Macaca fascicularis: one gene and its partners. The protein of the gene in region 5 interacts with the protein of the main gene of each other region in a pairwise test. Links are inferred from orthologs where the notes say so. Each region holds a gene or a part of one and is shown on either strand. Other genes may lie near its edges. The genes, in order: OAS1, ARHGEF3, PSMB1, NIF3L1, TRIM27, STK25 and EIF3D.

Region 1 (4,056 bases), on a different chromosome or scaffold from region 5:
TAGAAATACATAATATAATGTAAGCCACATGTGTGATTTCACATTTTCTAGTAAACACAATTAAAAAGGGAAAAGAAAGAGATGAAGCTCATTTGATTTAACTCAAATATATTTAAAAATTGTCATTTCAGCACACAATTAAACAAATTATCAGTTGGCAAGAACTTGGCCTTCTTTTCATTTGTACTAAGTCTTTGTAACCAAGTATATATCTTGCACTCACAGCACACATAGATTTAGACTAGCTATGTTTTAAGCATTTGATACATGTGGCTAGTGGCTGCTGTGTCACATAGAGAGGTTCTAGAATTTTTCTCAGAGATATGGAGAAAGGATAAATCAAGGATGCTTGTTTCAGAATTACTAGTAATAGGAAAACCATCTAATATTAAGATGTTTTGCACAAATGTCAACTCCATAAGGACACGGATTTTTTTTTTTTTTTTTTTTTACTTAAAAAATTCTGGAAGCCTTGGCTCTGCAGGGTCATGAGGACAGGGATTTCTGTCTGCTTTTGTGCATTGCTATGTTCCCAGTGCCCAGAGCTATGCTTGGCACATAGTAAGTGCTCAATAAATATTTCTTGTTGAATCAATGTATACACACACACACACACAAACACCCACACACACACACACACACCCCCCCCCCCCCAGATAGGCATCTGTACTTCTTGGCGGCTCTGTGCCTTGAAGTTAATAAACACCCAATAAATGGTATTTGCTTTATTTTTATTGTTATTGATAATACATTAGACATAACCCTCCCATCAGGTTCACAGAAGAAAGTCAAGGCTGGAATTTCATTCTCTTATCTAAATCTCTCTGTTCTCTCTCAGGGAATATTTTCAGAGAATAGGTGGAATGAAGCGAGGCTGTGGGGAATGTTATCTATGATAGGAGAGAGGGCATAGAAGGCCAGGAGTCAGGAGACCTGGGTTCTGTCCTGGATTATACACCAGCTCACTGAGGACCTTTGTCCTCTCTGGATCAAGCGTCCCACCTGGAAACGAAGGGGCTGGTCCAGATAACACTGGAGCCCTTTTCCCTAAGATGCACTGGCATTCAGAGGATGGTGCATGTCCAGTTCTCTTCTGCCTGTGGAGTGGATGCTGCCTGGAGTATGCTGGGGCTATGAGAGAAATGAGGGCACTCATATGTTTGGATGTAACCATGTTGCTGATACATCCTGGGATCGTAGGACTCATCGTCTTCACTGTCGCTTTCAGCCTGAAAGGGTGAGACACATGATCTCATCAGGGAGTCTTCCTACCTTGCAGCTGGATTCAGTGAGCATTTAAGGTGGACACTGTGACATGCCATCTGGATCCCCCTTTGAGGAAAGACTAACAAACCCCAGCTGCTGGGATGGTGGGCAGCAGACAGACTTCAGCCCTCAGCCCGTTTAGGGGTTGCCTCAGCTGCAGAGAGCGTTTTGCTCAAGGCCATGCCCTTTCCCAGGTGCCCAGGCACAGTGAGTGGTCCATGTAGGGGTATAGAGGCCTGGCCACTTCTGTCGCCATGGGGCAGCTCTAAAGGCCATTCCAGCTCCAGGGCTGTCCTTGAAGTTGGCTGAAGCTGGCATTTGCTTTGCATCCCTGTTCACTTCTCCCTATGCTCTTTCTTTCTTTCTTCCTATCCTTTCTTCCCCTCCTTTCCCTGAGTGCTGGTTCCAGTGGCTCTCCCCCAGAACATCCTGCACACTAAATTCCATCCACACTAAATTCCATTCCTAGCCATCTGCAACATCATCAATCCCCTGGAATCAGACAGATTCCTGCTTGGGGGTAGAAAGATCCAAGACTGGGTCCTTTGCCCCTATTTAGCCCAAGGCACTCAGCTGCTCAGAGTCTCCCACTGGTCAGATGAAAGGTGAGGATGAGACCAGGCTGGCTGTTTAGCACCGTGACATGAGCACTGGCTTTAGAGTCCACTGAGTTTGAATCCTATTTCTACCACTCGTGATGTCCTTGAGCAAGTGACCTCACCTCTCTGAGCCTTTGTCTCATCTGTAAGATGGGAATGATAGAAAACATACCTCATGGGACTTTTCAAATGACTAAAAACAGAATGTCCATTCAACTCAGCAACTCCACTACTGAGTATCTACCCAAGGGAAAAGAAATCATTATATCAAAAGACACCTGCACCCATATGTTTATCGCAGTGCTATTCACAATAGTAAAGTCATGGAATCAACTTAAGTGCCCATCAGTGTGGACTGGATAAAGAAAATGTGGTATATCTACACCATGGAATATTATGCAGCCATAAGAAAGAATGAAATCATGGGTGCAGCTGGAGGCCATTATCCTAAGTGAATTAACCCAAAAACAGAAAACCAAATACTTAACATCTGCTAAAGATGGGAACAATAGACACTAGAGACTCCAAAAGGGAGGAGGGAGGAAGAAGGGGAAGGGTTGAAAAAACTCCTTTTGGGTTCTCTGTTCACTAATTGGGTGACAGGATCAATAAAGGCCCAAATTCCACCATTACACAATATAGCTGTGTAACAAATGGCACATGTGCCATCTGAACCTAAAATAATAAAAATTAAAAAAAAGAAAACATGCCTCATGGGATTGTTGTGAATATTTAAAGAGATAGTGTATATTAAAAGGCTTAGGACAGAACCTGAGCCCGAAGCAGACAGTCAGTAAATAGTGCTACAGATTATTATTATTACTTTTAGGGGAATGAACTCTGGACAAGGGATGTGAAGATTCCAGAAACCCTCGATTGTGACCAAAATGACTGTTAAATATGGAGCACAGCCTGGAACTATATGAATACAAATGGCCTTGGCAAGAGGTAAGTTCTTTGGAAAGAATGGTCTCCAGCTATATGTCTCAAGCTGTGTGGAGAGGGGCAGGGATGAACGGCAGGGAGGAAGCAGGAGGTCTCACCAGCAGAATCCAGGAGCTCACGGGGGACCCATCCCAATTCTTAAAGCATGGGTAATTCAGCCAGGCCTCAGCCTCTTGTGCCAGCTGCCTCCAACCCTTTGTGTCTCCACCACCCAGGTTTCCTGTAGGGTCCGCCGGGTCCAGAATCACAGGCCTGCAGAGCAACATTTAGAGAGGGACAAGTGAGAAGCTGGGGCTCAGTCCAGGGAGTCCAGATGCTCCTTGGAGAGCAAAATAGCAGCCTGGGATGGACTGGGACTCAGAGCACGAGGAAGGGCTCCCTGGGGTATGTCCCCAGTGCCCTGTTCCCCAGTGGGCCGTGAGCATGAGGAGAAGGAGCCTTGCACTTGCGCCTGACAGATGTGGGTTTGAATCCCACCTCTGCCCTTTATGAGTGATGTGCCCTTGAGTAGGTCACTTGAACTCTCTAAACCTCAGGATTCTTATCTGTAAAATGGAGATAGTTCCACATACGTATCTCAAAGGCTATGGTGTGAGGATAGAAAAAGCCCAGTTATGTGAAATGCTCAGCACAGTGACTACAACATAACATACATGTCAGTAATATTGATAATAATTTTTACTATTATATTAGCATGTGTTAGTCTTACAGCAAGCTTTCAATACCTGGGAGCAATTACTATCATTGTTGTTGCTGCTGTTCTTATTTCAGTTCAAATTCCAGCTATTTTACTCATTTTCTGTTAAGGGCCGGACGAGCTCCTTACCTCTCAGAACCTCAGTTTACTCACCTGTAAAATGATAGTGCCTGCCTCACAGGGTTTGAGGTAGGTGTTTAAATCAGGTGGCAGTAGTAAAATGCCCAGTACGAATGACAGGCAAGAGGATATTCTCACTAAGTGGGGAGCCCTCCCACCTTCTCCATTTCCAAGGCACTGTACCTGTGTCCAGGTGTTCATTTACATAGGGGAGCTAAGCCACGTGGGGATAGCATACCTGGGTTTCCTGAGCTGCCTGCTCAGGTACTTTCCAATAATGGGGTTTTGAAAGTCATAATACTTTGTCCAGTAGACGCAGAGTTGCTGGTAGTTTATGACTAATTCCAAGACCGTCCGAAATCCCTGGGCTGTGTTGAAATCTGTTTCCATGCTCCCTTGCTCCCAAGCATAGACTGTCAGGAGCTCCAG
Region 2 (4,280 bases), on a different chromosome or scaffold from region 5:
AGATGGTTAGACGGCCCCGGAGTCTACCGGGGCCTCTTTGGGAAATAGGAAAATACCTCAGGGACAGGAATCATGTGCTGCGAAGATGGTATTTAGTATGTATATTAGTCAGGACTTTTCAAGTTGATGGAACCCCAACTGAGATAATAGAAAGGGAAATGTCTTTCTATATGTAACGAAAATGTCTAAGGGTGGTTCTTCTTCTTTCCGGTTTCAGGCACAGTGGGATCCAGAGGCTCAAGCAGTATTGGTAAAGCTTGCTCCCTTCCTGCCTCCACTGGTCACTCCATCCTTCATTCTAGGTCCCTTTATTCTCTCCTGTAGCAGACAGATGCTTCTGCTTAACCAGGGAGAGTTGCTGCTGGAAGCCCCTACTTGTGTTATCTCTTGAACTCACAATCTCAAAGGAATACTCTTTCCTCCTTTCTCCCATAAATCATGTGAGAAATTTCAGGGAATCACATGCCCATCCCTGAACCAGGATGGTGGAATACTCTGTTGGTCAGGTCTGGGGGAGCCCACCAAAACTATATGTAATAGGATACCCAAAGTTAGTGGGATTCTATTTATAGAAGGAGGAGAGTAGGAGTACTAGCCAAATGTTTAAATAAATAAAGGTCATCCACTATTGTTATCTCTTGTTCTTCTAAAGAGGGGAGATGTTCACTGGAAAAAAGTAGAGCTCATCACGTATCCAAGAACTGCCTTCATGCGTGAGTTTGGCCTGATATGTGCTTGCACTGTAGTCCACTTGGTATCCAGGTCGCACAGAACGGATACTCCCAGCGCATGTTCCAAAGCAGCCCCCTGTCCAATTTTCCTTAGCACGTAGGCTCAAGACAATGCCCCACTTCCCAAAGGCCTTGTGGCAATGTCCTCTTTTTCTTTCACATGTATGATTTATGTTCTGTCAACGACAGGAAACTGCTCAAAGATCCACCCAGTCCTGCCGCTGCCCCCGTGATGGTTTGTTTTTCTCATTGTTTAGCGCTCCATTAGCTTCCGCAGTGAGAGCCGCCCTGACATCCTCGCCCCCCGACCCTGGTCCAGAAATGCCGCCCCCTCAAGCACGAAACGGAGAGATAGCAAGCTGTGGAGTGAGACCTTCGATGTGTGCGTCAATCAGATGCTTACATCCAAGGAAATCAAACGTCAGGAGGTAGGCTCCGGGCCCAAACTCCATGTTGGCTGTGTGTCTGCAACAAAGGTGCATTGCAGGCGTCAGCCGTGCTGGAGTTTGCGCCTTAGTCTCCAAATCAATTCTTCATTGCATTTGTAGAAGGACAAACGGGAGTGTCTGACCTTGGGGAAGGAACTGAGAAACCAGAAACCAGCTGGGAGGGTGTGGCCCCCACTTTAAAAAGAAACTGATGTGAAAATGTGAATTTACAAGAAGATGAAACCAAATGTCTATTTAGGATTCTGAAGTTCACAGAAATAATCATTTTAGTTATATTTTGATAGCAACTTCTAGACTATTTTAAAATATTCAGTTTCCATAACTTTGATTCAGCTTTGTGGAAAACTTCCTTTCTATAGAATCCAGTTAATTTCATTCCCTGTAAGTTTTCTGTATCAATTGCCCTAAATGGCTCTGATAATATTACCCTGTATAGAAGAGCTTGTCTAAGTGCTTGTGCCAGGCTGTGCTGAGAACTTCATGTGTGCATCATCGGATGAGATCCTTGGAGTATCCAGCCCAGGGTTGTGCCTCCACCTGCTTTGTCCTCAGTTTACCAAGCAGCCCCAGGTGGAGGGAGCTTTCAAAGCCTGACCACTTTTTCCCTATATCCTGAAACACAGTAGACCCTGAAATATAATTACAAACTTGTAGTCCTTTAATAATGTAATGTTTGCTGACAGTTTGACTTCCCAGATGGAAGTGAAAGAGTGTTCTGCGCGTCATAGCTCTTTAGTATGATGGCTTAATGGAGCCAAATTAGAAACGGTCCATTTACATTACATACTCTTCCACACAGCCAGCTCCTATAATTTTATTTTTTGTACCTGTGGGACTGAGAGGTAATTTAGAATGAATTAACTTTACCAGATTGTATTTGGAGTGATAAAATGTTGGATTCTTCCTACAGTATCAGCCTAAAGGCATTGGATAATACAAATAAAACTTTCTGCTGAGATTCGCCTTCTGTCGAGTGGAAGAAAAAGTGAGGATGGCCCAGTTAATAATACTGCCACATCCATTATCTAGAACAGCCTCTGAATCACTTCTTATGATTGCCTCTCACAACAAGGGTACCAAATCCATGCTCACGCTAATTATTTTACCTAAAATAGTTCCCTCTTGTTTGACTGCATCAAAGTTCTCTAACATGAAGATGACTTTTTGAATTAGAAATGTGTGGAAACTTTCTCCCACAAACAGAGAAGCACAATATGCAGTAGTTTTGCAGTATCTTTTCATTGCAGGGTTAAGCATAGATGCATTTGCTTCAGGTTAATGTAACTTAAAATACTTAAATATGTAAATTTGGGGTTTTGAGTGGTGGAGCCAGCACTCTTTGAATATGGTCTTGTAAATGAAGGGAGAATTCAGTAAATATGTTTATCTTTCCTTGCAGGCCATCTTTGAGCTTTCCCAAGGAGAAGAAGACTTGATAGAAGACTTGAAATTAGCAAAAAAGGTAAATTTAAATCCAGTCATTTGAGTCAAGTCACTTTTTTTTCTTGACTAATTTCACAACCCTAAAGTGGTGCTTCATGAGAACTCCTTTTATGACTAAGACTGGTCTGCTACCACACACCAAGCAGTGGGGAAGGTGCTTCAAAACCAGAGGGCAGAATAGCTCTCCAGACCTGGCACCTTTAGGCATTTACCTCTGCATGTCTCTAATGCATGTCAAAGAATACTTCAGCCCAAATCAGAAAGTGTCCATGGAGGCCTCGCTTTATGTATGTTTCGTTGTCCTAGAAGTCTCATATGTACGAGTCTTTGCCCATGGGAGAGAATGTGTGCTTGTCTGAAACTTGAACTGAGTCTTAGAAATAAAGCCATTTGAATCTTAAAAGCAAATAAAGTGAAATGAGGCAATTGCATACTATCATATAAGCCGGGGTCTTTTATATAGGAATTTGTTTTCTAATCAACATTTTGTGTGGGGAGGAGGAGGACAACAAACCTTCCTCAAAAATGTTTTCATTCCAGTGGCACAGCCCCCCTACTCCATGGCTTGGAGGCTAAAACCAGACTCCTTCATCTGATATTCACAACCTCCTCAAAGAATCACAGGGTTGGAAGGATACCTTCCTTCTTTTAAGGGTTTTTAGTCTTTCTGCTAAGATGAAATTCCATCTCTAGCATTCCTGAGAGACGGCCACCCAAGCTTTGCTTGGACACAGCTAAGAAACTGAGTTTTAGGCAGGGCTGGAGGAGGAGATCAGAGAGGACAAAGAAGTTATTTCACTGTGAGAGTTATCATGCTGGTCATACGTGTAATTTCCCTTTCCTGCATGAAGATTTGCCAAACTCAAGCACCTTCAGATGTTTCCCGGCCATCCTTTTCCTCATGGTGGCCCTACCGTCCTACAAACTTTTCTCGTTCCTTTCAACCGTTCATATCCACCCATCCTTCAGGAACCAGCTCAAATCTCAGTTTATTCTTACATAACATTTATTGCCTCCTTCTCTGTACCAAGCAGCTCATCTTCAAAACTTTCCTTGGCCACTCCAGTTTTAATTCTCTGACCCTCTAGAGCAGTTTTGATTTGATGGCTTTTTGCTGTCATGTGACATCAGTCTTGATGTGAATCTTTAAATTTTAAACATAAGCCGGGTCCGGTGGCTCACACCTATAATCCCAACACTTTGGGAAGCTGAGGCGGGTGGATCACTTAAGGTCAGGAGTTCAAGACCAGCCTGGCCAGCGTGGTGAAACCCCATCTCTACTAAAAAATACAAAACTTAGGCCGGGCATGGTGGCTCACGCCTGTAATCCCAGCACTTTGGCAGGCCGAGGTCGGCAGATCACGAAGTCAGGAGATCGAGACCATCCTGGCCAACATGGTGAAACCCTGTCTCTACTAAAAGTACAAAAATTAGCTGGGTGTGGTGGCGTGCACCTGTAGTCCCAGCTACTCAGGAGGCTGAAGCAGGGAATTGCTTGAACCCGGGAGGCAGAGGTTGCAGTGAGCCAAGATCCACTGCACTCTAGCCTGGCGACAGAGCAAGACTCCGTCTCAAAAGAAAAAAAAAAAAATTAGCCAGGCGTGGTGGCAGGCACCCATAATCCCAGCTACTCAGGAGGTTGAGGCAGGAGAATCAC
Region 3 (4,280 bases), about 140 Mb from region 5:
TCTCCTTGTAAACAGATGATGTAAACTTACAGTATCAACAAATACAGTATCGTAAAGGTATTTTCTCTTCCTATGATTGTCTTAATAACATTTCTCTTTCCTGTAGTTTACTTTCTCATAAGAATACAGCACATAATACATATATAAAACACGTGATAATCCACAGTTTATATTATTGGCAAGGCTTCCAGTCAACAGTAGGCTTATTAGTAATGTTTTCTGGGAGTCGAAAGTTATATGTGGATATTCCAGTGCTTGGGGAATTGGCACCCCAACCCTTGTGTTGTTCAAGGGTCAGTTGTAGGCTTGGGAGTTCAAGTACAATACTGGGTAACACAGAAACGGTGGGTAAGACGGAGAAAGGTATTTTTATGATCTTCAGGTAAAGATGGCAAAAGAATTAATCACTACAGACATAAAAGAGTTGGAAGCCATGAGAATACAGGAAAACAGTCAAAACCATGGGAGTAGGTAAGGACCCACCAGAGAGTAGGGAGAACACAGAGAGAGATGGTAAGGCTTCTGCAGGGCACATCTGCCAAACTCAAACAGTAATTTATAAGAAAGTCTTTATACCTTGGATCTCCTAAGCTAATGAAGAGAACTTGGAGAAAAGTACTTCAAATGAATACTATGACAAATTAGACACATATCATTACCTGGTTGTCAAGCAGGGGCTGTAGCATGGCACTTGCTGAGCCTCCAGCCTTGAAGGAGTCTCTCTGGTAAGACCCTACTGGGTCAAAGCTGTATACAGCCCCCTTTCCTTAAAGAAGAAAATAGTATCCATAAGGATGGCATCCAATCACAATCCCAAATCATCACAAAAATAAATCAAGTCAAAACGTGACACAAAATGGACTATCACCTTGGCTAAAACGTCAGGGAACAGTTGGAACACAGTCACTGTTGCACTGGTGACAGCTGCACCACACACACTGTTGCACATGTGAAAGCCAGAACACAGTCGCCATCGCACAGGTGACAACCAGCACACAGTCACCATCGCACAGATGCCACCCAGCACACAGTCACCATCGCACAGGTGACAACCAGCACACAGTCACCATCGCACAGGTGCCACCCAGCAGACAGCCCCAACCCCTGTGTTGGTGTGTTGTTCAAGGGTAAACTATGCTTGGGAGTTAAAATACAATATTAACACAGAAAGGGTGAGTAAGAGGGAGAAGGGCATTTTTATGATCTTCAGGTAAAGATGGCACGAGAATTAACCACTGCAGATGTAAAAAGAGTTGGAAGCCATGAGAATTCACAAAAATAATCCAAGCCATGGGAGTAGGTAAGGACCCACAAGAGAGTAGGGAGAACACAGAGAGACAGTAAGGTCTGTGTAGGGCACATCAACCAAACTCAAACAGTAATTTATAAGAAAGTCTTTATATCTTGGCTCTCCTAAGCTAATGAAGAGGAGAACTTGAAGGAAAGCACTACCTATGTATATAGACAGGTCCAAGGGACACATCCGCAAGACAAAGTAAAATGAAGAGAATTCTGTAACATGTATAATACAATACTATTTTTGTTTAAAAGAATAAGAAAACTCTTTGTACAAGCACAAAAAAGTCTGGAAAGATAAATAACAGACTGTGGTTGGTTATCTTTCAGCACTGAATTAGAGGCAAGAAAAGAAAGGAATTACTTCTTATGTTTCTATATTATTCGAGTTTTAAAAAGAACACAGGTAATTCTACAATTTTTAAAAAGGCCTGTTAAAAACAACTGTGTTCTGGGTATGAGAAATCATGAATCATTTACAACGTATGATTTTTTAAAAACATAACTGATTTGGAAAACACATTATATACCAGAACTCAGTACCCTGGGAGATGTGATATAGGGACAGTCTTCTTACTAACTATGTACAACTGCCACTGTTAGCTTTGTATGTTTTCTACTATAGAACTGTGTAAACTTGGCCAAGCGCAGTGGCTCATGCCTGTAATCCCAGCACTCTGGGAGGCCGAGGTGGGCAGATCACAAGGTCGGGAGTTCGAGACCAGCCTGGCCAACATAGTGAAACCCCGTCTCTACTAAAAATACAAAAATTAGCCGGGCGTGGTGGCATGTGCCTGTAGTCCCAACTACTTGGGAGGCTGAGGCAGGAGAATCGCTTGAACCCGGGAGGCAGGGTTGTGGTGAGCCGAGATCACGCCACTGCACTCCAGCTGGGGCAACAGAGTGAGACTTGGTGTCAAAAAAAAAAAAAAAAAAAAAGAATTGTGTAAACTGAAATTCTCTGGTGGAGAAGGCACCATCTGAGGTCACCTAAGAAACTGTGGGAAGTATTTTTGCTGAAAGCAAGCTTGGGACAAGACACGAGATCACAGCAGGCAATCCACTAACCTTAATATACAAAAAAAGAAAGAGATATAAGGTGTAAAGGCAAAAAAATGATTATATCTCTCATGAGGACGACGGGCCACATATAAACTGAGGTCCAAAAGCTTTACCCAAGGATGGGACCTATCTCAGAAAACCACACACAACAAATTTGAAAAAACAAACCGAAGAAATGGTGGGCTACGTCCAAGAACACAGCTTTAAAGATCCCCTAGAAGAAGGAAGAGAGACACTACTAAAATCAGTATAAAACAACAAAAATAAATAAATAAAAATAAAAATAAAAATAAATGTAGAATGGCATGAATCTTGACTACAAAGTGCTTTTCCTCATCAAAGTAAAATCCAAAAAGCACAATAATTTCAATGTAAAAAAATCAGACAAGTCTTAAAAGAAACACAGGTAAGCTTTGGATGGGAGAGGTTTTTCTAACAAGGCAAGAAACTGAATGTCATAAAGAAATGACTGACAGATTAGACTGTATGAAACACAGAAATTTCTGTGTAGCAAAAGGCACTGCCCAAAAGAGACAAATAACACTCTTGGGGTCGTCTATATTACAGACATTTGACACAGTTGAATGTAGTTCTTGAAAATCAATGAGAAGAAAACCTGCAAATAAGGAAATGGGCAACAGTTAACACATTAATCAGTCTCCAAAGAGGAAATTTATAAACTCAATAAACATATGAAAACATGCCCAAAAATATATATAAATGAAAATAATAGACTGTTCAATGGGGAAAAACATGTTTCCAAATGTGTTAATTCTAATACTGGGAAGGCTACATAAAACCAGGTACTCGGGGTACTGGCATGTCCTTCAGAAAGGGTACAGTCAACAAAATACAAAAAAAATTATCTGACCCAATACTTCAACTACTAGAAGTCTATTTTAGCAAGACAAGCATAATTGGAGAAGTTCACAAAAATGGATGTACAATGACGTTCATCATATTGTTTATATCAAGAAAACAGGAAGCCAAAATGTCCTTTAGAGGACTGGTTAGGTAAATGATGGTACAGCCATACTGTGTAAGTCAGCTATTAAAAACTATGTGTTACAGCAGCAAAAACAGAAGAAAAAAAAATTTAATTAAATACAAAAATCACTATGCATACAGCTTAGATCTCCTTGATAATAGACAATGTATAGTTACAGAAAAACAGATACCAAAGTCCTACTTATATAAAACTGCACGAGTGTATGTATAAACATGTACTGATTGATTATTTTCACTACCGAAAAACTAAAGCCACTTTTAATTTGGGAGAAAAATATTTAAAAGGCATGACAGCAGCTAAGAGAATAAAGACAGAGAGGTTAGTGCCGACAGCGGTTGACACCAAGGGAAAGAGCTGTGGACCTTGCTGTCCTGAAGGTTTCAATATGGAGCACTGCTCTCCAGGTCCCTGCATCCACCAACACAGAAGACAGTAAATGAAGTCTCCTGATACATTAGCAGAGGCTCTCGACTTAGGGGACCAGGTTCTAGAGTGGCAAAGGGTAGGAGCAAAACACATGAAATGGAAAGTTGGTGTAAACAAAACACAGACCATCAGGCCCCTTCCTCCTCCGAGGCCTAAAATGCTGCCAACCAGGCTTCTCCTCCTGTAGTCCCACCTCACCCCAGGAAAAAAGATTAAAGAAATTCTTCATCTGAAGAAAATGCTGCTTATTGAAGCACCCAGTTAATGGCTGTCAGTTGACAAGCTATGTAAACAAGGACTTTTATAATCAAATTTTCATACAACACTTCAATGTGAATGGACAGCCAAAAAAAAAAAAAAAATCAGAAAGTTGAAGGAAGCCTCTAACACAGAAGACACAGGCCAAAAATGAACATACAACATGAAAAAAAAAAAAAAGCACTCTGATGAAATATACAAAGAAAGTACAAAACATCTAACAAAAACA
Region 4 (4,280 bases), on a different chromosome or scaffold from region 5:
AAGCGATTCTCCTGCCTCAGCCTCCCAAGTAGCTGGTACTACAGGTGCACGCCACCATGCCCAGCTAATTTTTGTATTTTTAGTAGAGACAGGGTTTCACCATGTTGGCCAGGATGGTCTTTATCTCTTGATCTCATGATCCTCCTGCCTCGGCCTCCCAAAGTGCTGGGATTACAGGCGCCCCGCCACATTATTCTGTTTTTTGGTAAAGCACATTGTAATGTCAGTATATACCACCCCAACTCCAAATTCTGTTGCAATCAGGGGAGGTGAGCAGTGTCATTCTATGCAGTAAGCAGTTAGTGCTGGCTTATATTAGCGATACTGAGATTTATTAAAGATAGTTCCTATTCCATAGTAGCTTTAGCATAATGGGCACACACAATAATGAGAATACTGAGGGGTTGGGAGCCTTGGGAAGGATGCTGAAAAGGGAGGTCAAGAAAAGTTTTATTTAAGAAGTTGAAGGGGGTTTGGGAAAAGGAAGGATAATATTTAGAGAAATGGATTAGGGAGGAGGTTGGTTGAAGCAAGGGTAGGGAGAATAAGAACAAGGGTGTGTGAGGCAGGAGATGGGATGGACGTTTGTGTATTATGTACCAGACTTTGCTAGGTTACATAATTCATTTGCTCCTCTGGATGGCCTGTGAGGTGGGCTATAGTATCTCCATTTCGTAGGTGAGAAAACAAGATTGGAGAGGTTAAATGGTTTACCTAAGTTACTATGTGCTGGTAAGTGGCAGAGCCACTATTTGAACCCAGATCTCTATGATGACAGTTCTTTTGCCCATATGCTTTGATGCCTCAAAGATCCAGGCCTAAAGTGTACCTGTGTACCATTTTCTTTGTTTTGACTTCAGAAACTTGAACTTTACCTGATTTCTGTATGTTGTCATCTTGTGTACGCCCGGTCCCCACGACAGTCCGGTTTGTAGATTCTCTGATCTGCAGTTCTTCCCGTTCCTTCATGGATTTGAAGGCTCTCCTTTCTTCCTTGAATGACTTTGCATCCCTCTCCTTTGCTGAGAGTTGGGACAATGTTGGATTACTGGTGGAACCAAGCCCACCACATACTGTAAATACGCTCTTCCTGACCAATGACCTGACTGAGGAAGTGATGAAGGAGGGGCTGCAAAAGAAGGCAGACCTCATTCTCTCCTACCATCCGCCTATCTTCCGACCCATGAAGCGCATAACCTGGAACACCTGGAAGGAGCGCCTGGTGATCCAGGCTCTGGAGAACAGAGTCGGTATCTACTCTCCTCACACAGCCTATGATGCCGCACCCCAGGGCGTCAACAACTGGTTGGCTAAAGGGCTTGGTGAGAAGCTTCTTTCATATTTGATATTTTCCCTGCAAATACTTTGAAACCTTAGAATGTCTGTCCAGTAAAGTTTTAACTGCTTTAGGGTTGGGGAGGGTATGATTCCATTTTTGTATAATAAATTTAAAATAATGTTGCTGAAATTTGGCAGTTAAATTGCATTTGAAAAAGGAAACATTTTTTATTCTTACGGAGTTAGGAGAGCAGAAGTCTTCCTTACTGGGCTGAACTTCGTGATCCCTCACTTTTGTGGCACAATGCCTGTCACCCAGGCACTTGAAAAATGCTTGTTGAATTGAAAGCTCAGGTCTCTCCAGAATACACTTGATTGATAAATCAGGCAAATAGACATCTGGGTTTTAGTGAATGTTTTTAGTGAATGTTTACTTATGCCTAGGGAATGATGTATGGATTTTAGCTTTACTTTAGTAAGTCTTTTGTTTACTCATTTTGGGCTGAAGCTTTTATGATGATATCTGGATTAATGTGGTCAAATAAAGTATGAGCATTTGCAACCTGAATGATGGTTTACATGGGTAGATTTACCAAACAGTAGACCATTCTGTGTATTATCTGAAAATGTATGAATCAGTCTTTCTTGTCCAAGTTTTTCAGAGATTTAAGAATCTTTTGGAAAATAATTCTGAAATAATTTGATTTTGTACATCCATACCAAAGCCCTAGGGGACTGGTGATGTATATCTAAAGGATATATGTATGTGTGTGTATGTCATATAAGCATGAGAATGAATCTTTTAAAAAAGTCATTTCTTAGAAATTTTGCCTATAATAGTTTATCTTACTTTTAAATGTTAACCTCTAACCCCCCAAAACTCCCATTTTCCCACAATATTTTCTCTAGGAGCTTGTACCTCCAGGCCCATACATCCTTCCAAAGCTCCCAACTACCCTACAGAGGGAAACCACCGAGTAGAATTCAACGTTAGCCACACCCAAGCCCTGGACAAAGTCATGTCTGCAGTGAAAGGAATTGGTGATGTTTCTGTCACTTCTTTTTCTGCTAGGTACAATTTATTTTTCTCTTTTTTGTGTGTGTATTTATTTGTAAGCATCTTCCTTACAAAGTCTGTAACCCTGGTATTTAGGCTTGAAACAAATAATTTTCTCTAGAGTTGGTTTACAAAGCAGCATACTCCTCATTTGTCTGTGGGTCCTGGAGACGTATGGAATTTTTTCAAAACAATAAAAACAACAAGTAACACTTATTAAGTATTTTCTATGTCAGGGGACTATACTATGCATTTTATATACAGTATTTCTAATCCTGTTGATGTTCAAAGATAGTTGTTTTCACTTTAGAGAACACAGATAGATCCTAGTGATGTGGTGATGAGGCTTTTATTGGTTCCCAGCAAATCAGTGATTTCCAAGCACTTTCTTTGTTTTTTATATTTATCTTTACATTTTAAATATATATTTTCATAAATCAGTTTTTTAATTTAACATCATGGGAAATACTTTTCTGAATAATCTTTGTTTGTTTGTTTTAAGAGACTCCCAGGCTGGGCGCAGTGGCTCACACCTATAATCCCAGCACTTTGGGAGGCCAAGGCTGGTGGATCACCTGAGGTCAGGAGTTCGAGACCAGCCTGACCAACATGGAGAAACCCCGTCTCTACTAAACAAAATTAGCTGGGTTTGGTGGCGCATGCCTGTAATCCCAGCTACTCGGGAGGCTGAGGCAGGCGAATCACTTGAACCCAGGAGGCGGAGGTTGCAGCGAGCCGAGATCGCTCCATTACACTCCAGCCTGGGCAACAAGAGTGAGACTCCATCTCAAAAAAAAAAAAAAAAAAAGCGATTCCCATGCTGGAGTGCAGTGGTATGATCGTAGCTTGCCATGGCTTTAAGCTGCTGGTCTCAAGCAGTCTTCCCACCTCAGCCTCTTAATTAGCTGGGACTATAGCTGCCAAGCACTTCAAGTGAAAAATACATTAAGTGCCTCTTTATAAGGTCAATCATTATTTAGGGCAGAGATAGGAGTTTTTTTGGTTTGTTTATTATTTATTATTATTTTTGAGACGAAGTCTAGGTCTGTCACCCAGGTTGGAGTGCAGTGGCACAATCTTGGCTCACTGCAACCTCCGCCTCCCTGGTTCAAGTGCCCGCCACCATGCCTGGCTAATTTTTTTTTGTATTTTTGGTAGAGATGGGGTTTCATCATGTTGGGTGGGTTGGTCTTGAACTCCTGACCTCGTGATCTGCCTGCCTCAGCCTCCCAAAGTGCTGGGATTATAGGCGTGAGCCATGGTGCCCAGCTGTTTTTTTATTTTTTATTTTTGAGAGACAAGGTCTCACTTCGTCACCCAGGCTGCAGTGCAGTGGCATGATCACAGCCCATTGCAGCCTTGACCTCACAGGCTCAAGCCATCCTCCCACCTCAGCCTCCCTAATAACTGGGACTATAGTTATAACTTGCCACCATGCCTGGCTAATTTTTGTATCTTTTGTAGAGACAGGGTTTTGACTTGTTGTCTAGGCTGGTGTCAAACTCCTGGGCTCAAGCCATGTGTCCACCTTGATTTCCCAAAGTGCTGGGATTACAGGCATGAGCCACTGCCCCCAGCCTAACCTCTCATTATTTTTAATTGCTTGTAGTGTTTCTTATTATGGATGAACGGTAGTTTCTTTAAGCATTCCTCTTCCTACTGATGGACTTTTTAGTTCGATTCCAGTTTTTCCATATTGTAGATAATATCTGAGTTTTACCACTAGATAGGGACCAAGGCATTGGTTTTCTTTCTTTTTTAAAAATTTCGGCCGGGCGCGGTGGCTCAAGCCTGTAATCCCAGCACTTTGGGAGGCCGAGACGGGCGGATCACGAGGTCAGGAGATCGAGACCATCCTGGCTAACACGGTGAAACCCCGTCTCTACTAAAAAATACAAAAAACTAGCCGGGCGAGGTGGCGGGCGCCTGTAGTCCCAGCTACTCG
Region 5 (4,794 bases):
TACTTTTCAGACAGAAATACCTCTAGTGGGTGGAGACTGGTAATGTTTTATTTATTGTTCAAAAAACATTTTCAAACACCTAAGTGGTGGATATACAAATGTGTATTATAAATGTCTCTGTACTGTCTTTTTTTTTTTTTTTTCTTGAGACGGAGTTTTGCCCTTGTTGCCCAGGCTGGAGTGCAATGGCACGATCTTGGGTCACCGCAATCTCCACCTCCCGGGTTCAAGTGATTCTCCTGCCTCAGCCTCCCGAGTAGCTGAGATTACAGGTGTGCACCACCATGCCTGGCTAATTTTTTGTATTTTTAGTACAGACGGGGTTTCACCATGGCCAGGCTGGTCTTCAACTCCTGACCTCAGGTGATCCGCCCACCTCAGCCTCCCAGAGTGCTGGGATTACAGGTGTGAGCCGCCACCCCCCCCCCATGCCCTGCCTTGTTTTTTTTTTTCTTTTCAAAACAAAATTCCCAGTTAGGTGCAGTGGCTCACACCTGTAATCCCAGCACTTTGGAAGGCCAAGGCAGGTGGATCACTTGAGGTCAGGAATTCGAGACCTGCCTGGTCAATATGGTGAAACCCCATCTCTACTAAAAATACAAAAATCAGCTGGGTGTGTTGGTACATGCCTGTAGCCTCAGCTACCTGGGAGGCTGAGGTGGGAGAATCACTTGAAATGTGAGGCAGAGGTTGCAGTGAGTCGAAACCTTGCCATTGCACTCCAGCCTGGGTGACAGAGTGAGACCCTGTCGGAAATAAAAAGAAAAAATTCCCATATACCCCTATCATAAATTAATACATCAGCCACTTGTCGAGGCCTTGAGAGATTGGAGGAAGAGAGCAGAGCAAAAAATTCAGAATTAAGGCATTGTCAAGAAAGGAGAATAACACAAAGAGAAGCAACAGTGGGACTTACACAAATCCACTATTAGCACTTGTCTGAAGAATGGTAACAACGCAAGCTAACTGTATCCAATAATTTTACCCATCTCAGCTTTGCCAAGGATCAACCTTGGTCTACGCAGTTAGCAGGTTAAACTATACTGACAGGTCTGATTTCCAAGGGTTCCAAACTTGGCTCCTCCACGCTTTCCCCAAAAGAAAGGGAATCTCTTAGTTCTCTGGGTGAGTTCCCACTGCCATGTGCAGTTGATCCCCCTCTACCTACAGGTTCTGGGTGACATGCTGGACAAGTCTAAGGGAAGTAACATCAGCTCTACAGAAGAGGGGAGCACCAGCAGAAGCGACTGTGAATTCCAACAACCCTTACCAAGAGTTCAGCTCGTGCCTGTTCCCCTTGGGCCCGACGTCTCTTCTTTAAATCTTTCACTCTTTTTAAATGGTCAAGCTGGTTCTGGATTTGCTCCTGAGAAAAGCAAAACAGATGGGCAGTTCAAAACTAGGTAGACCTTAGCATCAGCATGGTACTTCTAATCACACATGGAGTCCACACACCTGATGCCAAGTATCCAGTTGGCACTTGTTCTCAGGCCACACTGCCACCCACAAGAGAAAGACTCAGGGCGCAGGGGCCAACAAGCCACTCATTTGGCAATTTGTGTCTATCTTAGCAGCCTGTCGCTTCAACCACTCAGCTACCTCGTCAGGATTATTTGTGTCTATCTTAAACAATGAATCATCTACCTGTCCCTGGTAGGATATCGCATGACTTAGCGGAACTGTGACTGGAGTAGGAGGCTTAGAGTTATGTTGTATTGTAGCTCTTCCACACAAGCATACTGTGAAAGTGACTTCTTATTTCCCTCATGTGTGAAATGGGCAAACACCATCTTCCCAACCTACTCAAGAGTTCTCACCAGAGTAAGTGAAAGAATATAGCTGAAAGGTCCATAAATGTTAAGTGATTAATTACACATGAATGTATTCATATTTAAACACGGACATAATTGTGTATGAATTCCTGAAGCCCTCAACATACAGAAAATACACAGTATCATGGACTCCTTGAAGGTCACCTTACAACTGTTTTATATGTAATATTTTGTTTCCACGTTTCTGTTTAGCTGTGCCAGTTCACAGAGGGCTCTGTGCATCACATGATTCCATAATCTTCCTCATAACTGTTATCTCCTGAGTCTCAGAGTGGTTAAATGACTTAAGCAGTGAAGAGCCTGTTCTTTTCTGTGAGTTTCTAGACCAGGACGTATTGCAGGAAAGTGCTGGGGAAATGCTTATAGACCAAGGAATGGGCATCGGTCAGTTAATGTCCGACTGCGTTTTGTCTGACAGCCGACGAGAGTACATGTGTCTCTACAGCTCGTCGATGTGCAAGCGATTTTATGCACTTCTTTTATACTGTCAAAAGCATGTCTCCGTGTACAATGTGTCCGTGAGACAGGAAACATGGGGGCACACAGAGAAAGGAGAGTGGGGGTGGGGAGACTTCTGGCTCCCTCGCCAGCTACAGGTTTTCCTCCAAATCTGAGTGCTGAGGCTCTGGAGCGGACAGAGAGGAAATGACGGCTGTGAACCACACGTCCGGCTCAGCCATTTTCTAGGCGGAAAAAGGGAAGCCCCTTTGGCTCTCTCCTCCCTTTGTCCGACTCGCGTTCCCGCCCTCCCGGATCCGCGCCCTCACCTTGAAGCCCTCCACTGCCTCCTCGAGCGGCAGCACGCTGTGGCCGCGGTGCTCGCGGGAGCGGTCGCACACCACGCAGATGGGCATCTGGTCCTCCTCGCAGTAGAGCTTCAGGGGCTCGCGGTGTTTCTCGCACACGCCCATCTCGCCGCCGGGCCCCGACGGCCGCTCGGTGCGCAGCTGCTTCACCAGCTGGGTCACGTTGGCCAGGTGCCGGTTGGGCCGCATGTGCCTCTGCGGGAAGGTCTCCCGGCACTGCGGGCACGACACGTTAGTCTCTGCCGTGCCCCAGCAGCGGGCGAGGCACGCGCAACAGATGTTATGGCCGCAGTCGAGCATCATGGGCTCTGCGAAGTACTGCAGGCACACGGGGCAGGTGGTCTCCTGCTGCAGGCACTCGGCCACGCTCCCGGAGGCCATGGCGCGGGCCTGCGGGGGCTCACGGGCATGGGCCCCGGCGCCGAGCTCTGCACGGAGCCCAACTCTCCGGCGCTCTCTCCCGTTCGCTGTTCCTGGGAGGCACCGGGCGGACGGAGGGCGGTGCCTCCCGGGCCCGTATCCCAGACGCGCCCGCGCACCGAAGGCTCAGAGTGGCCGGGCCGATCCCTGCGCCTGTGCCCCCTGAGCGAGTGCGGGAATACAGCCGGCTCACAGAGACTCGCGGCCACGTTACTGGGGCAGGAACGGGTAGCCAAGGGTCAGGATCCCAGGGCCAGGCGCGCAAAGCGCGCAAGACAACGTGGCCGCGTCCGAGCGGATCCCGGCGGCCGCGTAGACCCCACCCCGGCGCGAGCGGAAGAGGCGGCTCGGGGGGCGGGGCTTGGCCCGCGCTTATAGTGTGTGACAAGATTTCGTGGCCTCGGGGCCCGGGCTGCTTTCTCTAGAAAGGCCTGGGAGGCTCCGCCACTCTCCCTTGGGCGGGTCGCGCCGAAGCTCTAGCCTAGGGGACTGGTCACAAAAGCAGATGGTGCCACACGCTCCGGGCCTACAATCTTCCGCGACTGCCGGGCCCAGGCCCCTAGTGTTTAGTTGGGTTTCTTCTTGGTGCCCAGGTCTCAGCCCCTGCTAAAGATGGCTTTGGCCGCGCGCAGTGGCTCACGCCTGTAATCCCAGCATTTGGGAGGCCGAGGCGGGTGGATCACGAGGTCAGGAGATCGAGACTATCCTGGCCAACATGGTAAAACCGCATCTCTACTAAAAATAGAAAAATTAGCCGGGCGTGGTGGCAGGCGCCTGTAGTCCCAGCTACTTAGGAGGCTGAGGCAGCAGAATCGCTTGAACCCTGGAGGCGGAGGTTGCAGTGACCCGAGATCGCCACTGCACTCCAGCCTGGGCGACAGAGCGAGACTCCGTCTTGAAAAAAAAAGAAAAGAAGAAAGAAAGCTGGCTTTATATAGGTGCTGGGGAGCGCAGACATCTGGCTTCCCCAAGAGGCTGGAGGATGAGGAGGGTCACCGTCTGAGCCCACCTGATAGGTGAGGCCTTTTATTAAACAGACCCATTTGTAGGCACTTGCAGTTTTGTTTAGAAAAAGAAAGGTTTAATTATCAGATGGTAACATTTCTGTGTGGCAATAACAAGCCCAGCTCTGCTACCTCTCACTTGTGCCCAAGCAAGTTGGTTTACCATTCATTTACCTCAGTTTCTCCTCGTGTGAAATGGGGATGATAACTGTACCGCCGTAAAGAAGTAGATTTCGTTACATCTTTTACTTTTTGAACCATAAGGTTGTTTATCCATTAAAATAGTAACAAAATGCCCATTACATAGGGTTGTTGTATTGAGGAGCAACTAAAAATTGCTTGCTCCTTTCTGAAGTATAGAGAGACTAAGAATCCTACAGTGACCCAGGGTCTTGGAGTCCCACAATACTCGTTGTCTTATCATGCAGTAGACCTCCAGCATTTTTAAGTTGCTTTCTTATCCCTTGCTTGATGTCTCCTGCTTTTCTTTGAGATTTTCTCAATATTGTCCTGCTATCTGAGCAATACGGGCTTCTGCTTCCAGACCTTACTTGATTTTTATTTTATTTTTTCAAAGTGAAAGTACGTTTATTAAGAAAGTAAAGGAATAAAGAATGGCTACTCCATAGGCAAAGCAGCCCACATCATCACTTTAGAGTTCCCCTCTGGTCCTCTTCCCCATGGGACAAGAAGTCTGAGGGACTAAGTGCACTTGCCAACCCCAAACCCACA
Region 6 (3,643 bases), on a different chromosome or scaffold from region 5:
GTCCCTCGACTGCTCCACCCTCTGCCATCCTCAGGCAGGCTCTCCTGTCACCACCTCTCACCCACATCCTCCCCAGGCTCCAGGAGGGGCTCCTGGAGAGCACACCTGGGCCCAAGCCCACTGGCCACGCCCTGGGCACAGAGCTCCTGGCTGCATCACATCTCTGAGAATGGTGCCGACTGCCCATTAGCAGGTGACGCTGATGCAAGGTCATGTGACTAACCAGGGAGGCACCTGCCCTGGATGGACCCCGACTACATCTTCTCTGCTTTCTCTATAGAAGGGTCATCTGTGTTTGCACTTGAAGAAAACAAAAGTCGCTCTGGGAACCCAGAGGACCTTGGCAGGTCTGGGAGCACAAAAGGTCATCACAGCAGATTCTGCTCCTTCTACTCAGGAAACCCAGCCCATAATCAGCTGCAGGAAACCTAGAAGCTGAGACTGCCCCACGGCACTGTGAGGGGACATCCCCGCGGAGCAGCGTCCCAGCCTTGTCCCTGGCGGGGCTCCAGCCCCAGCCCCAGCCCCAGCCCCCTTCTCACCTCTCCGAAGACAGGCCGGACCAGCGTGGACAGGCACTGGGACCTTGGCTGCCTCTTGACAGGCTCTGCGGGCTGCAAAGGAAGTGGAGGCCCAGGGTGAGCAGGGCAGTGCAGGCGACAGGCAGGGCACTCCCATCCCTTCAGGCTCTAGCCTTGAAGGGATGGAGACTGGGAGCAGCCTGTCACGGCACATGCCCAGGGCTGGCCCCAAAACCATCAAGCCACCCAGATGGCCTGACTCAGGACTTGCAACTCCCACCCACCCTCTCCTCACAAATTTGGCTCCTAACAGGCCCTCATCTTCCCAGCACATGCTGGGGCTTGGGGTCTCCACACCAGGCCCAGTGCCACAGTGGGCTTCAGACCACCCCTGCCTTTCCCAAGCTCCTTGTCCAAGCCCCAGACACTGGGTGGACAAAGCTGGGTCCCGCACCCAGCCCCAGGGGTGCACAGCAGGCAGAGGCCAGGCCGGGAACAGACCTTCTGTGAGCTGTGCAGGGCCGTCCCCTTGTGAAGCTTGCTGTGTGGACTCGGCCGGATGGTGGGGGGGAACGTCCAGATGGGGCCCTGCTCCCCGTCCTCCGCCTCGCCATCACTGAAGAGGATGAAGAGTTGCCAGGGTCAGTGGGGGGAGGACCAGGAGGCACAAGGGCCTCAGGGCACACCTCACGGCCAAGGGAAACCCGAGGTACTGGGCGGCGCTCTGCCAGGCCACGGAGTCCAACTGATGCCTCAGCAGGCCCTGTCCTGCAGCCTTAAGGGGGTCCCTGCCCAATACTATATCTGGTCACTCTCACCCCTAGAGCCCACGCCCCTGCTTCTGGAGTGGGGACCACCCACGTCACAACACCGAGGGTCACCATGAGGATAAACCAGGCCCCTACATGTCAGAGTCCTCGGAGCTGGACTCCTCGCCATGCCCCTCGGACTTCCAGCGCTTATAGCGGTCGATGAGCTCCGTGAGGAAGGAGGTCTTCTTGGTGTAGCGTGTGATGAACTTGTGCTTCAGGAGCTCCTTGGCTGTGGGCCGCTGTGCGGGGTCAGGGGAACATCGGTCACTGGGCCCAGCCAAGCTCTGCCTCAGGAAAGCAAATGTGAGGCAGCCTGGACTGGGGCAGGTCCTCATGGCTACAAGGCTGGGGGGCCTAGGCCTCCGGGCTGTGCTGCCCACCCCAAGCAAATGCCCTCCCTCCATATGCCCGTCCAGAAGGGGCCAGGCCAGAGGCGGGCCTTACGAATCGGGGGTCCTTGTTGAGGCAGGCCTCCACGAACTCCTTGAACGGCTTGCTGTGCTGGCCCTCCAGTGTGGGAGGGCTGTTCTTGGGAATCAGGAACAGGACGCGCATGGGGTGGAGGTCAGAGTTTGGAGGCTCCCCCTTGGCCAGCTCGATGGCCGTGATCCCCAGGGACCAGATGTCGGCCTGGACAGAACACAAGGACTGTCGCTGCCCTGAGCACCCCAGTCAGGCGTGGTGCCCGCACCCGCCCGCCCACCCACTGCACCCACCTTGAAGTCATAGGCCGACTGCTTGATGACTTCAGGCGCCATCCAGAAGGGGGTGCCCACGAACGTGTTCCTCTTAATCTGTGTGTCTGTGAGCTGCCCTGCTACCCCAAAGTCCGCCAGCTTCACATCCCCCTGCTCCGAGAGTAGCACGTTGGCAGCTGCTTGACACAGGACAGGCAGACGTCATGCCAGGCTCCACGTGGCTCCACCCAGGGCCCCCTGAGAAGGGCCAGGGTATCATCCACCTGGCCTCCTAGGGCACAGCAGGGCTGTCCTCAGGACTTCAGCCCTCCTTGCCACTCTCAAACCCAGGGCCACCTAGGGCCACAGGGGCACTGCCAGAAGGAGCCTAAGGTCTCCACTCCGAGCTCCAGGGCTCTCCCTGCATTTGGCTTTTACAACAAATCCCAACGACAGGCGACTTCGCCCACTGGGGGCTACCACAGAGGTGACCCTGACCAAGGGTGTGGCCACCATGGGCCTGCCAGGAAGCCCCTTGCTCCACCAGACTTGTCCCCTACATGAGAGAGATGACTCGGTGCCGGTGGCAAGTCCCTCCCCACAGGCTGGCCCAACCTCATGTCTGCACTTAGCAGGGCCAGACCACACGCTGGGGCTACTCAAGCCTACACCTGCTGTTGTGCTGTGAGCCACCGGGAACCAACAACTGTGGCTAAGCGTGGCTGTTCCTACACTCAGTCCACAGCTGGTTTCCTCAGCGTACAAGGAAACTGTTACAAACAGTATCTTCTGGAAATGGAGCAAGACAACTGCTCAGTTTCAGGGTGGCCACAGGGTTCTCTATACCCCAGACGCTGGGCACCACTAGCCACTTGCCCCTCACAGGCCCCAGCCTCTCTAAGGTCAGTGGGGCTCAGGACATTACAAGAGCCACATTCACCCCCAGCAGGACCTTTGATGTCTCGGTGGATCTTGCGTTCGGAGTGCAGATAATCCAGGCCCTTCAGAATTTCCCGCAGGATCGTGGCAATGTACGTCTCCTCCAGGGGACCTGGTTTAAGCTGGAGAGGAAGGTGGGACAGCAGGGCCTCAGCTCCTGTCCCAGGCCCAATGCCTGAGTTCTCCTGTCTCTCTGACAGGGGAGGGCTGTCCCTGCAGATAGCCGGGGGCTTCATGTTCCTTTACTTCTCAAACACAACTTTCAGACGGGAGTGGGGTGGTCTAAAGCATATAAACCAGCTTCGCTTTACTGTCATGTAACAGAAAAACAGGCTCCCAACCATCTCCCAGCGTGCCTGCCCCCGCCCACTCCCACAGGCCAGGACCCCTTTCAGCACCAACTGGGCAGATGTGCGGATGGCAGTTCATTTTTGCTTTAGACGATTCGTAATTAACACCTAATGTGCCATGACACCAAACGAGAGGTGGCCCCTGGAGCCCATGAGTCTGAGGAGCAGGGGACTCGGACACTGCATGACCCCCCACTGCCATGGCCTATGCCTCACCAAGTCCAGTGCCGAGCCGCCGCCCAGGTACTCCATGATGATCCATAGCTTGGTGCTCTGGGACCGGAGACAAACCCATCAGCATTTGGCAGTGAGAGGAAGGGCATGCTCCAGGGTGGGAGTCAGGC
Region 7 (4,906 bases), on a different chromosome or scaffold from region 5:
GCTCACTGTAAGCTCCGCCTCCTGGGTTCACGCCATTCTCCTGCCTCAGCCTCCTGAGTAGCTGGGACTACAGGCGCCCGCCACCGCGCCCGGCTAATTTTTTGTATTTTTAGTAGAGACGGGGTTTCACTGTGGTCTCGATCTCCTGACCTTGTGATCCGCCCGCCTCGGCCTCCCAAAGTGCTGGGATTACAGGCTTGAGCCACCGCGCCCGGCTCTTTTTTTGTGTTACACAATGTAAGTGTTTGAAAAAATTCAATGGTGTCACAGATTTGATAAAATGTACTGATGTTTTTTCAAATATAGTAACCTTGTTTTGGTTCTGAGATATACCTTCACCAATTCATACAAACTCAACTTCCCTAAGACTTAGTAGTCTTTTTCTTTGTTTTTGGAGACAGAGTCTCACTTTGTCACCCATGCTGGAGTGCAGTGGCATGCAACCTCCGCTTCCTGGGTTCAAGTGATTCTCCTGCCTCAGCCTCCCGAGTAGCTGGGATTACAGGCAAGCACTGCCTGGCTATTTTTTGTGCTTTTAGTAGAGACGGGGTTTCACCATGTTGTCCAGGTTGGTCTTGAACTCCTGACCTCAAATGATCCGCCCACCTCGGCCTCCCAAAGTGCTGGGATTACAGGCGTGAGCCACCACGTCCAGCCGCCTTAGTCTTTTTCATCTGCAAAATAAACAAGATCCTTGTTTTAAGCACTTTGTAAAATGCCACACGAGTATTCAGACTTGCAAAAGTACATTTATGCATAGAGAGTGCTGAGAAAAAAGGATCTTTAAGTATATCCTGAAATTCAATTTTCCTTTCTTATTGTTTCAATTTTCTGCCATCAACGCAAATCCTGTGTGCAGAGCAAGTGGACATAAACCCAGGCAAAAGAACTGCCAGAAGGCCAAGGAGGTCCCCATAGACCTCAGGCCCAAAGTGGCCATGTCAGATGTTCATGAATACTGCCAGGCACTGTTCTTAGTGGTGACCACTCATTCATTCATTCAATCCTGCCAACAATCCTGTGAGGTAGAAGCCAATGTTATTCGCACTTTCCAGATAAGAAAACCAAAGCATAGAGAAATGAAGAAATTGCCCAAAGTTGCAATGCTAGTTGATGAAAAACGTGAACCAAAGCAGTCTGACTACAGTGTCTGCACTCTGCATAATGCTATAGCTCTCTCAGGGGAATTAAAAGACCAGGGTTCTACAGCGGATGCTTGCCTGACACTTCCTATAAAAAAAACCTATGCATTTATCTTCCGTTGTAGCCTTCTGAAAATGCTTAGAAGGCATTCACTACACAAATATTTCTTGGAGGCTGGATGCAGTGGCTCATGCCTGTAATCTTAGCACTTTGAGAAGCCGAGGTGGGCGGATCACGAAGTCAGGAGTTCGAGACCAGCCTGGTCAACAGAAACCCAGTCTCTACTAAAAATACAAAAATTAGCCGGGCATGGTGGTGGACACCTGCAATCCCAGCTACGCAGGAGGCTGAGGCAGGAGAGTCGCTTGAACCTGGGAGGCAGAGGTTGCAGTGAGCCAATATCGTGCCATTGCACTCCAGCCTGGGCAACATAGCAAGACTCCATAAAAAGACAAAAATCCAGTATTTCTTGGAGGCTGGAGAACAATCAAAAATAACAGGTATGCTGAACTTAGTAAACTCCCCCCAAAGCCCCATGCTGGGGAGATTGAGGCTTCCTTCAGAGATGACATTTGGGTGACAGCAACACGGAATAAACCTAGAAGCTTCATCTTCCTAATAGGAACTATAGGAAGAGGACAGAAAAAAAGGGTGGTGGTCTCAGAACAATTCGTATTAAATATCGCTGAGCTCCTATGTGTCAAGAAATATGCCAGATACTTTAACACCATTAACACCCCCTCACCCCCACTTTAGAGGCAAAAATTTGAAGCCCAGCCTAGCCAAGCAGCTGACGTCATCATTTCAAAACAGATTTCATTTCCAGGGGTGCCTGCTGTCAGTCCAGCTTTCTTTCCATTTTATTACAGCTGGGTAGCAGCCCGCAAAGATCGGGGGTTTGAGACCGTACCTAGTAATACCAAAAGTGAGTCGCAAGACACACTTTTAAAAATCGGATTCTGTCAGAAGCTCAAGAAGGGAAAAGGCCCGAGGCTTGACCTGCATCACCTCTCTGGAAAGACAGCGGTGAGATACCCTAGCTTCCCTAGCTTTAATACATGTTTTTTTTTTTTTTTTTTTTTTTTTTTTTTTTTTTTTTAAAAAGGAGAGCAGAGAGGAACCAGGAGAAACTGAGCTGCTCAGTAAAAACGAAGTAACAGCTGTATTGGTCAGAAGGGCAGGATAGGGGGGCTCCAAGAAGGCACTCAGAAGGGGCTCTGTGGCTGGCAGGCCACTACGGATCATACGCCGTCCATCGCTGAACAGGGGGTGGCGTAACTATCCTAGCCTCCAGTTTCACAAAAAACGGAAGGTAACCTATGCACTGGGAATTCCTAAGAACAGGGGCCAAACACCGCTCAACCTGGCACCCCTTAAGACCCCACTTAAAAAGTCAGGGTGTCTTCGGCCACTTCAGAAAGACCTTGTTGTTACCCCTCCGCCTTAACCGAGATGGGTTAACTGGCAATCAAATTCACCCAGCCCATGGGCAATGAGCAGGGCCTAGGGCCAGGGACCTCACCCACAAAGTCGTGCCCCGCGTCCAGTAGTGTGCAGGACGTGGGGCCCCCGAAAGTGGATTCCTGCCCCGCCCAGCGGAGGAACAGCAACAGCAGGAAGGGACTAAGAAAGGTCTCTTCCGTGAGGCCCCCGAAGTCTGGACCTAGTCCGAGCCGGCTCCGGAGGTCCGCAGGAACCTATGAAACATGCCGCTCACCTGAAACGGCCTCGGCCGGCCGGGATGGCAACAGATGGTGCTGGCCGGACACCGCGTTAGCAGCAGCACTCCGAGAAACCAGGAAAAAAAGAAAATATGCGCGCGCAGCGGACGCCGCCGTAAACACGACCGGCGCTGTCGTAAACTGCGCTCCCGCTTCCTCTGGGTTGGGCGGAAGAACTTACGAGCCGTAAAGCGAAGGTCCACCCGGAAATCCGTTACTGCGTTTCGCCAGGCGTCCTTATTAGCCTCTGAGGCGTCGAGACGCGAGAGGTGTGATTGGTACTACGTCAGGCGGTATCCGGGAACGCCCAAAGAGGGCGTTCATCACTGAAACGTGGCGGCCGCGCAATCGAAGCTAGAGGCGGGGAGCGGCTGGCGCCCCTCTGTGTCCCACAATGCTCGCGGCACGCCTTAGCCCCCATGTATCCCATAGTCACCCGCGACTCCCCGCCTGCTCTATCCGCCTGCTTAGTGTGAAGCTCACAGCAGGAGAGGTTGGTCGGGGTCTTCGGGGGACTTTATTGTTACCCCCTCCGCCTTTATAGTTGTGGAAACTGAGGCTCAGAGGTGCCAAGTGACCTGCCTAGATCAGACTGCTAGTTTAGGGTTCTAACCGCCAGATTTCAAACCATACTTAAACGGTTCTCAAACTTAATTGTAGGACAGGGATTTCTGGAACACCGTTTTTATTTATTTTTATTTATTGTTTGAGACAGGGTCTCTCTCTGTCGCCCAGGCTGGAATGTGGTGGCAGGATCACGGCTCATTGCACCGTCGACTTCCCAGGCACAAGCCATCCTCCCAGCTCAGCCTCCCGAGTAGCTGGGTTTACACAGGCACACACCAACACGCCTGCCTAAATTTTTGTATTTTTGGTAGAGATGGGGTTTTGTAATGTTGCTCAGGCCGGTCTCAAACTCCTGAGCTCAAGCAGTCCACTCACTGGGCCTCCCAAGGGCTAGGATTACAGGCATGAGCCGCCGTACCCGGCCAGCTAATTATTTAAAAAAATTTTATAGAGACAGAGTCTCACTATGTTGCCTGGACTGGTCTTTAACTCCTGGTCTAAAGTGATCCTCTCGCCTTAGCTTACGGAGCACCTGAGGCTACAGGTGCATATCACCTTGCCTGGCTAATTTTTAATTTTTTTTTTTTTTTTTTTTTTTGAGACGGAGTCTCGCTGTGTCTCCCAGGCTGGAGTGCAATGGCGTGATCTCGGCTCACTGCAAGCTCCGCCTCCCGGGTTCACGCCATTCTCCCGCCTCAGCCTCCCAAGTAGCTGAGACTACAGGCGCCCGCCACCACGCCCGGCTAGTTTTTTGTATTTTTAGTAGAGACGGGGTTTCACCATGTTAGCCAGGATAGTCTCGATCTCCTGACCTCCTGATCCACCCGCCTCGGCCTCCCAAAGTGCTGGGATTACAGGCTTGAGCCACCGCGCCCGGCCTAATTTTTAATTTTTTAATATTTATTTATTTATTTATTTATTTATTTATTTTGAGATGGAGTCTCTCTCTGTCATCCAGGCTGGAGTGCAGTGGCAGGATCTCAGCTCACTGCAACCTCTGCCTTCCAGGTTCAAGCGATTCTCTTGCTTCAGCCTCCCAAGTAGCTGGGATTGCAGGCGTGTACCACCATGCCCGACTAATTTTTGTATTTTTAGTAGAGACGGGGTTTTACCATGCTGACCAGGTTCGTCTCGAACTCCTGACCTCAGGTGATCTACCCACTTCGGCCTCCCAAAGTGCTAGGATTACAGGTGTGAGCCACTGCACCCGGCCACCCGGCTAATTTCAAAAAAATTTTTGTCGACACGAAGACTCATCATGTTGCCAAGGCTGGTCTTGAACTCCTGGGCTTAAGCAGTCCTCCTGCCTCGGCCTCCCAAAGTGCTGGGATTACAGGTGTGGGCCACCACACCTGACCAGGATGGTATTTAAAAAAATTCAGATTCTGGGTCTCACTTGGATAGATTGTATGGATATGTTTATGCTGGAGCCCAGGAGTGCCGCATTAACTGTGATTCTGAAGTGACAACTCACA

What was found.
Region 1: the proteins of TRIM27 (region 5) and OAS1 interact in binary tests that used the Homo sapiens proteins (3 or more experiments, as listed by UniProt). The two-hybrid records come from large-scale screens. The link is inferred for Macaca fascicularis from reciprocal best matches to the Homo sapiens genes TRIM27 and OAS1.
Region 2: the proteins of TRIM27 (region 5) and ARHGEF3 interact in binary tests that used the Homo sapiens proteins (3 or more experiments, as listed by UniProt). The link is inferred for Macaca fascicularis from reciprocal best matches to the Homo sapiens genes TRIM27 and ARHGEF3.
Region 3: the proteins of TRIM27 (region 5) and PSMB1 interact in binary tests that used the Homo sapiens proteins (3 or more experiments, as listed by UniProt). The two-hybrid records come from large-scale screens. The link is inferred for Macaca fascicularis from reciprocal best matches to the Homo sapiens genes TRIM27 and PSMB1.
Region 4: the proteins of TRIM27 (region 5) and NIF3L1 interact in binary tests that used the Homo sapiens proteins (3 or more experiments, as listed by UniProt). The two-hybrid records come from large-scale screens. The link is inferred for Macaca fascicularis from reciprocal best matches to the Homo sapiens genes TRIM27 and NIF3L1.
Region 6: the proteins of TRIM27 (region 5) and STK25 interact in binary tests that used the Homo sapiens proteins (3 or more experiments, as listed by UniProt). The two-hybrid records come from large-scale screens. The link is inferred for Macaca fascicularis from reciprocal best matches to the Homo sapiens genes TRIM27 and STK25.
Region 7: the proteins of TRIM27 (region 5) and EIF3D interact in binary tests that used the Homo sapiens proteins (3 or more experiments, as listed by UniProt). The two-hybrid records come from large-scale screens. The link is inferred for Macaca fascicularis from reciprocal best matches to the Homo sapiens genes TRIM27 and EIF3D.

The regions. Positions count from the first base shown.
Region 1 is NC_088385.1:119,855,370-119,859,425, reverse strand, and holds the end of OAS1 (2'-5'-oligoadenylate synthase 1), read right to left. Parts: coding exon 3,866-4,056; intron 3,063-3,865; coding exon 2,883-3,062; intron 1,230-2,882; coding exon 887-1,229; 3' UTR 715-886; downstream 1-714.
Region 2 is NC_088376.1:119,843,220-119,847,499, reverse strand, and holds part of ARHGEF3 (rho guanine nucleotide exchange factor 3), read left to right. Parts: intron 1-217; coding exon 218-250; intron 251-988; coding exon 989-1,159; intron 1,160-2,579; coding exon 2,580-2,642; intron 2,643-4,280. UniProt on the Homo sapiens protein: Acts as a guanine nucleotide exchange factor (GEF) for RhoA and RhoB GTPases.
Region 3 is NC_088378.1:530,256-534,535, reverse strand, and holds part of PSMB1 (proteasome subunit beta type-1), read right to left. Parts: intron 767-4,280; coding exon 660-766; intron 1-659. UniProt on the Homo sapiens protein: Non-catalytic component of the 20S core proteasome complex involved in the proteolytic degradation of most intracellular proteins. This complex plays numerous essential roles within the cell by associating with different regulatory particles.
Region 4 is NC_088386.1:96,660,451-96,664,730, forward strand, and holds part of NIF3L1 (NIF3-like protein 1), read left to right. Parts: intron 1-860; 5' UTR 861-886; coding exon 887-1,322; intron 1,323-2,187; coding exon 2,188-2,350; intron 2,351-4,280. UniProt on the Homo sapiens protein: May function as a transcriptional corepressor through its interaction with COPS2, negatively regulating the expression of genes involved in neuronal differentiation.
Region 5 is NC_088378.1:144,252,590-144,257,383, reverse strand, and holds the start of TRIM27 (zinc finger protein RFP), read right to left. Parts: upstream 3,371-4,794; 5' UTR 3,020-3,370; coding exon 2,600-3,019; intron 1,367-2,599; coding exon 1,271-1,366; intron 1-1,270. UniProt on the Homo sapiens protein: E3 ubiquitin-protein ligase that mediates ubiquitination of various substrates and thereby plays a role in diffent processes including proliferation, innate immunity, apoptosis, immune response or autophagy.
Region 6 is NC_088386.1:137,448,263-137,451,905, forward strand, and holds part of STK25 (serine/threonine-protein kinase 25), read right to left. Parts: intron 3,573-3,643; coding exon 3,516-3,572; intron 3,072-3,515; coding exon 2,963-3,071; intron 2,208-2,962; coding exon 2,050-2,207; intron 1,964-2,049; coding exon 1,778-1,963; intron 1,618-1,777; coding exon 1,427-1,617; intron 1,138-1,426; coding exon 1,023-1,137; intron 615-1,022; coding exon 543-614; intron 1-542. UniProt on the Homo sapiens protein: Oxidant stress-activated serine/threonine kinase that may play a role in the response to environmental stress.
Region 7 is NC_088384.1:15,131,642-15,136,547, reverse strand, and holds the start of EIF3D (eukaryotic translation initiation factor 3 subunit D), read right to left. Parts: upstream 2,950-4,906; 5' UTR 2,861-2,949; intron 675-2,860; 5' UTR 607-674; exon of another isoform or gene 589-606; intron 1-588. UniProt on the Homo sapiens protein: mRNA cap-binding component of the eukaryotic translation initiation factor 3 (eIF-3) complex, a complex required for several steps in the initiation of protein synthesis of a specialized repertoire of mRNAs.